2 linked regions of the Xenopus tropicalis genome follow. The protein of the gene in region 1 interacts with the protein of each later gene in a pairwise test. Links are inferred from orthologs where the notes say so. Each region holds a gene or a part of one and is shown on either strand. Other genes may lie near its edges.

What was found.
Region 2: the proteins of tpp2 (region 1) and polb interact in binary tests that used the Homo sapiens proteins (3 or more experiments, as listed by UniProt). The two-hybrid records come from large-scale screens. The link is inferred for Xenopus tropicalis from reciprocal best matches to the Homo sapiens genes TPP2 and POLB.

The regions. Positions count from the first base shown.
Region 1 is NC_030678.2:119,708,736-119,712,563, forward strand, and holds part of tpp2 (tripeptidyl-peptidase 2), read right to left. Parts: intron 1,811-3,828; coding exon 1,682-1,810; intron 1,386-1,681; coding exon 1,290-1,385; intron 505-1,289; coding exon 400-504; intron 1-399. UniProt on the Homo sapiens protein: Cytosolic tripeptidyl-peptidase that releases N-terminal tripeptides from polypeptides and is a component of the proteolytic cascade acting downstream of the 26S proteasome in the ubiquitin-proteasome pathway.
Region 2 is NC_030679.2:130,628,886-130,632,713, forward strand, and holds part of polb (DNA polymerase beta), read right to left. Parts: intron 3,331-3,828; coding exon 3,264-3,330; intron 1,156-3,263; coding exon 1,081-1,155; intron 519-1,080; coding exon 460-518; intron 267-459; coding exon 217-266; intron 1-216.

The sequences.
Region 1 (3,828 bases):
TGCAGCTTTTAAATGGAGGTCAGTGACCCCGGCAGCCAAAAACTATTGCTCTGTGAGGCTACAACTTTATTATTACTGCTACTTTTAATTACTTAACTTTCTATGCAGGCCCTCTACTATTTAGATTTATATCTATTTTATACCACTGCTTTGTTGCTAGGGTATAGAACACCATAGCAACCAGATTGCTGCTAAAATTCTAAACAGGAGAGCTGCTGAACAAAAAGCTAAATAACTGAAAACCAACAAAGAAAGACCTATTGCAAATTGTCCCGGAATATAAATTTCTACATCCTATTAAAAGTTCATTTAAGGTGAACCACTCCTTTAAAAAGATAAGTACAGACAAGATTTTTTTGCCTTAAAATAATAATTTGAAATTGTTAGTTCTGTTTCAACCTGAGCTTGAGCATTGGAGTTTGTGTCAAACTCTTCCTGTTTCTTGCAGGCTTCAGATAGTACAGCTCGATGGATAGGATCCCAAAGCTTCTCTTTACGCTCTTTCTGTAGATGAATACAAATCTAAGATTAACACAGTGCAATCTACAGTGTTGTAATTAATCAGAAAAAAACAATTTTGTAATTCATTCTTATTATTTAAAATGTTTAGTTTTTAAGATACAGACCAGTATCACCTCTGCTATAACACTCTCTCCTCTCTGTTCTGAAGGATTTGCAAATTCCAACTTGCATTCTGCCCACAAAAAATTGAGTTTTGGACTGATTTATTGAGAAATTCCACCAAAACCCCACTAGTCCCGCCCATCTGTTCCACTTCCTGCTGGCTGAATTCTCTGGATGTGCATGGGAGACGGCGGCTCTTAGTACACTGCACTGTAGCATAGGAACCAATCAGCAGCTAGGCTGAACTGATAGGGAACTTAAGCTTGTCTTTGGTTGTGTGAGTGCAGGGCTGTGATTGGCTCTCCCCCTCCTACTGTGCTTCTGGTAGGGACCGTTAGGACACTCCCCCCCTTCATTCTAATGGACAGAGAAGTCATAGAATCTATAGGGAACTCCAATAAATCAGCCATTTTTACAGATAGGATTCATTTTTAGCACAAAGTGAAACCAGCACCATATATTATTCATAATTGCCTAAACAATTAGTGTTTTTCCCCATTTATCCAATATGTCTCCTTTAAAGAATTTATATTTGATACCGACTACTAAAAATTTTCCATTATAGAAGATATTAGTCTGAAAATAGATATACTGCAGAATTTATAACCTTATTTCTAATAGTTTTGATAAGCCAACATAGAGGAAAGCAAGTTCTCTGACATTACCTGCAAGCGCTCCTTCAGTGCCTTAGGGTAAAAGTCAAAACCATTTTTCATACCAATGTGATATTTGCCAGAAGGATTTATCCATCTTGTGGGAATCTACAAAAATATAAAATTAAAACACCAAACATGAAAACACCAAGCTAAATTATAAAATGAAAGCTGTCTGAATTAGGTACTATGCAGACAATTTATTGTCATCATTTGCCTTATTTATTGAACTTTATTGTTTAAATAATAAAAGGACATAATCATCAGGTTGAATTCGGAAAAAAAATCCAGAATTTAAAAATCCAGCTAATAAAATTGCACTCAGAATTAATGTATTTTCAAGTGTTTCAACAATACTTACTTCGAAATTATGTTTTTAAAAAGAAATACAGAATTGTATATACCTTTAACGTTCTTCCAGAAAGGCCTACAAGTACTCCATCTTTTGGCTCAAGAACAGTGCTGGTATTCACATCACCACTTCCCGTTGTGTCAATAATGTCTATAATCTTTGGCTTCCCATCTGTTGTTTGCTGAGGAGAAAATAATGTTAGGGTAAAAACCTATTTCTAACAAAAACAAAGTTTACTTCTACAATGTACAGCCAACCATATTATAAAAATGCAAGTTCCCCAAATGGTACTCACAAGTATATGTTTAGAAAACACTTGCAAAGAGAGAAATCCTAATCAATTCTAATAATGCCATTAATAAATAGGGACAAAATAAAACCCAATAATTTAATTATAACAAATGGACTGAAACCTTAAAAACCTGTGCACTAAGCCCACAGTGGGGGCTTAGTGCACAGGAGGGGGGAGCATACCCCTTGTTTAACAGGACTTGTGCTGAAAATATATTTTGCTGTTTTAATTATTAAATGGTTTGCACTAAACAAAATCTAAAACTGGAAATAAAAGTTCAAAAATTCCTGTATTCTGAGCGCAAAAAAAACAAATCACCAGTTGTTAAAGTGGACCTGTCACCTTAAGAAATAATTCTAAATTGTTTTCTATTGTGTTTGTCAAGCAAAATAAACTTTACTTACACTATATAAATTATTCAAACCTTCAGCATTGGAATTTACAATTGCAGCAAGCAGGCAGGCACCATTTTGTGGTGTTTTGTTATCAAAGCAGGCATTGCATCCTGCCAAAATCTTGCTTCTGTGCCAGTATGGGGGGACCCGATGCCCATATCCATGCACTGGTTACAAAATTACATGGTTAGGAGGGAGGGGGAATGTGAGGAGAGCAGCAACATCTAAGAAGTCCTGAATTCAAAGTGAAAGTAACTGTCTGCCCCGCCTCTATGCCTAAGGCATAGAGGCGGGGCAGGCAATATATGATTGACAGCTGGGATTTTTAAATGCTTTTATAATGGGTATGGATGTGGTAATAAAAAAATGATTTGGGGTTTCATGTTTAATTTGAAAAGGGCTTTTATTATACAGCTTTTCATGTCTGGGTGACAGGTCCACTTTAAATTAAAGAGCAGCAAACACTTGAGCTGAGGAATGGGTTGGGTTGGATTATACAGAGGTTTTTTTTAGTAGTCTTTGCAAAAGAAGCACTTTTATTAAGCAGAAATCTATCTTCTAAATAATAAACAAAGGCAGCACTTACCCTTACTCACTCCACTGTAGAAGGGAGTCACCAACCCCTCCCTCCACCATAAATGCAGAGACTGGCAGCGAGTAAGACTCTTGATGAAATTTTTCATGTGCGCAGACCCTACATCATGGCATGGTGCGCAGTACTGAAGAACACAGATGCTGTTCAAACAGGAAATTTATAGCTCATAAGCACTTCACCTGGAGGCTAGGTAAGAGCTGTCTGATTACTATTCAAACAAAGCCTACTGACTTCTGCTTAGTAAAAGTAAAAAAAGTTCTTCATTTGAAAAGTCCTAACACTTTTGTAAGACTTTACAAAAGGTGAACATCCCCTAAACAATGTCAACAACTGATTTTATAAGAATCAAGAGAGTCAATCACCAGGCAAAAGTAAATATGATAGGTAGGAAATAATAAACACATTTGTTTTTAAACTTATGGTAAAAATAAAAAGCAGCTGAAAAAAGTCTTTATTTGTGGTGTATTATTTAAAAACAATAAGATGTGTGAAGGTGGGCCACCCCTTTAAGCTAATTTCACATACATTAACCAGGCCCCCTAATGAAATATTTAGGATGATCAAAGCTAATAAAATGGAATCATGGTGATATGTTAAAGATATTGGGCCAAATTACAGAATCTATAAAAATGACCCATGGGTATAAATGCTTACTTGTGTAAATAAGCTTTAATCTCAATATTATGTGGTAATCAACAGATGGGAATTAAAGAGCAGAGATGCAGGCATTCTCGCTTGATTTAATACCAGTCTATTTGGCTGCACTATTGCCTCACTCTTAAATTACATATACATGAAAAGCTTTGTGCCAGACAAGCAGGGCCTAAAAGGACTGGGGCCCACCAGCATTTCTTCTGGTGTTCCAGTGGGCCAGTCCGACCATGGACCCAAGTATGTGTCAGGCCAACTTGCACCAA
Region 2 (3,828 bases), on another chromosome or scaffold:
TTAAGCAAAAATCTTTAAAGGAGACCTGCACTGCCCCCCTCCTTATGGCTAAAGCCAGATGGACTGGTCTCAGCAGAAACACAGTCAAGGCATCATTTCAAGACTGGCCTCCTTGTATTCTATGGATATTAATACATCTGGCCTTAAGATAAAGTCTACAAAGCCATGACCATTAACACTTAAGTAAAATGAAACTCATTAGCATTTGGTACGTACCATCTAATGTCTTAATTCCTTCGTCCACCAACTTCCTAGCAGCTGCCGGTCTGTTACACAATACAAACATAGAATTAGAAGAATATACACCCCAAGCCTAAGTCATCATATACAGCCTTTCCACGTTCAGCAGACTTGTGTACATTTCCCCCTACCCTTTAGGGAGCCAAACTAGTTATACTCCTGTTATACCTACTCGCTGTGCTGTTGCTGAGAATAACAGTACTAAAAAATGGTACTCACCCTATTCCAGTGACCCTTGTAAGAAAATTAATGGAGGAGCTGGTGTCATCTTGCCGGATCTACAGAAGAAAAAATACAACACACATATATATGTATGTATGCTTCCTGAAGAAGAAACAAAGATGTATGGAGAAGGTGCTTGCAATTGATATTCAATTAAAATGATAACAGCGGAACCTGGAACATCTCCATGGAAAACCACAGGAACGGCAATATATGTTTATGACAATTAAATGTCTATGGAAAATATTTAAGCTGAGTGATGAAACCTGGCTGCTCCCATGAATATGCAATTCGGTTACATTTCCCTTATTTGTGTAGCTAATTCTCAGGGCAGGGCTACTTAGCTGCAATACTCATCACTCATAACAAGCACACAGTCAGTGGTAGACTGGTCCTAGATCTGATATATCATGGATTCTGCTACCCAGAATCAGGGTAATATCTGTGTAAGACCATCCTGTAGTTATAGCTATCGCTGCCATTCGGATTTCAACAATATGGTGTTCCCTCACTTTTACATCATTACTACAGCTCTGTTCCAGCACATTTGTACAGACTGTATTACTTTTATTTGGAACATAAGTAATAAAGTAACATATAAATGGACAAATATTTTACCTTTTCTAATTTGCGCAGTTTTCCAGTGGCTAGAAACTCATCTATTTTCTCAGCAATTTTGGCTCCAACCCCATCCTAGAAAAGAAGAGAAAGAAAATGCATGAGTGCAATGGAACTATCCCCCCAAACAATGTAGGTCTCTATAAAAAGATATTGCATAAACAGCTCATATGTAAAACCCTGCTTCATCTAAATAAACCATTTTCATAAAAATATACTTTAGTAGTATGTGCCATTGGGTAATCCTAAATAGTAAATTGCCATTTTAAGAATTAAGGGCCTCCTGGGATCATAGGATTCACAGTGCACACAAACAAGCCAAGGCACACATACATGCTAGGTCCCATCAGCCAATGAATGGACAGAGTTCTGCCTTTTGCTCCCACACTACTTCCTGTTACAGTTAGAGCTGCATTATTTCCTGTCAGCCGATCTCTGAGGGAGCACCCAGCCCATAACTAAATGGTAGATCAAGGGAAAGGATGTAAAAGGGCAATATTTACTGATATATTCCAGTTTGGCAAGACTCTTTAGGTCACTTAATATAATATAAACTATCTGTTGGTTAAGTATTCATTCTGAGGGTATAGTTTTCCTTTAATAAAATTTTAAGGGAACTCATCTCACCAGAAGCATCAGCGCACAATACAGCGACTGTAGCCAGCAGGCACCTGACTTTCAGGGTGTATAGATACTGAGCATGACTGCAGGCAAATAAGCGGTGGCATGAAGCTTAAAAAAGTCTGAACATCTATTTGATCTGGAGGCCAAACGGCATCGCTAAATAAAATGCATTAACTGTAATAAAGAGACACACAGGAGCAGCTTTCCCTTACTGCAAGGAGAATTAATCCCATGATTATGGTTATATTCTTCTACAGCAATTTATTGGCAGGAAAGGGTTGACTGTCCTGCCAATAGAACCAGATATTTAGTGCCTGTGTGCATGCTGATAAGTTCCTCATTCATTTGTTATAATTTAACTCCATTAAGCTTCAAGTCATGGAGAACACTGGAGCAACTCTCAAGATTAGAAAAAATGAAGTTTCACATGTAATTTACCTGATAATGAAACTAAGGAGATTTTTTTACAATGAGAGCTGTTTATTTCTAAATTACACTGTTTACATGGCAAATAATGCAATCTCAGTGCATTGTGCCTGAGTCTGAGCTTTCAGAAGGAGCCAGCGCTACACATTAGAACTGCTTTCAGCTAACCTATTGTTTCTCCTACTCCCATGTAACTGGAGGAGTCCGAAGCCGTACTTGGATTTCTTACTATTGAGTGCTATTCTGATACCTACTGGGAGCTGCTATCTTGCTCCCTATTGTTCTGCCGATCGGCTGCTGGGAGGGGGGTGTGATAACACTCCAACTTGCAGCACAGCAGTAAAGTGTAACTGACTTGTATGTCCACATATGGAATAAGCCACTGTGGCGTCTGGGTTTTTAAAAATCACGACGACTAATTGCCCCATATATCTTCACCCTAAAGATACAAGGAGAGGTTTAGAAGACTGTTATCTCACTTACAGATATAGTCTGCTATTAAGGTCACAATCCACTAAACCCCAACCTGTAGAGTGTGCATTATCAATAGAGAGTGACAATATCCATGTAATTGACATAGACACTACCATGGCACACCTGCAGGAAATCTTCTCTCCCACAGGCCACAAAGATCAGAAAAGGAGATTTCTTGTAAGTGGGAGAGGTGGATTTCCCGCAAATGACAAAGCGCCCTTAAGGGCTGTGGCACACCGGGAGATTAATCCCCCGAAATGGCATCGCACCAGCGAGAATGTAAATTGCCAGTGGGACGGCATACGCAGCAATTTCGGGAAATTGTGGCGACTAATCTCCCCATGTGCCACAGCCCTAAGGTGGATATACATGGGAAGATTTTAGCTGCCAATCTGGCTCCTTCAGTCCAAGTTGGCATCTTATCTGGCCATGTATGGGACAGTCAGACGGGCCTCCTGACTGATATCTGGCTGAAAATTGGGTAGATATAGATAGGACAGGTTTAATAATCTCAACAGAGCAATGACCGCATAACCTTGTTCATGCAATCCTTGGCATGTAAAACTACGTTTATAGCTTTGCGCCCATCTATTGTAAATAGAGCATGTCCCCTTTAATCCTGCATCAAATGCACAGAAAGTAAAAACACCCTTACTCACCAGCTTTTTGGCCTCTGTCCCACTCTTGATCTTAGAGGGATATTTGGCAATAACAGATGCCGCTTTCCTGAAGGGCAAAGACAATGATTAGTAATATTATCAGAATCTGCAACAAGGATACATGGTATGTCAGCTGTATGTCCCTAGCATATGCCTACTGACATTATTTGGTTTCAGAGGGGATCCTGTTTAAAGGTGGCCAAGCGAGCGGATCTTCTTAGCAATATCGGGCTAATTCGGTCGTTTGGCCCTGGGGCCAAACAATCGAACTAAAATGACGGGTATAGGCGCTTGTCGATTTGGGGACTGCATCGGTCCCCGATCCGACTAAATATCAAACCTGCCCGTCGTTAATGACCATACACGGGTCGATAAGCTGCTGAATCTGTCTAAGGGACTGATATTGGCAGCTAGAATCAGCCTGTGTATGGCCACCTTAACTCTGCTCAATAATAAGGCAGCACAGTGAATGGAATCTCATCAAGATATGTTTGTATAAAGGGAACACTGTGTTTTGCTTATTCTGTTATACTGAGAAATAATACAAACATAATAATGACGGAAT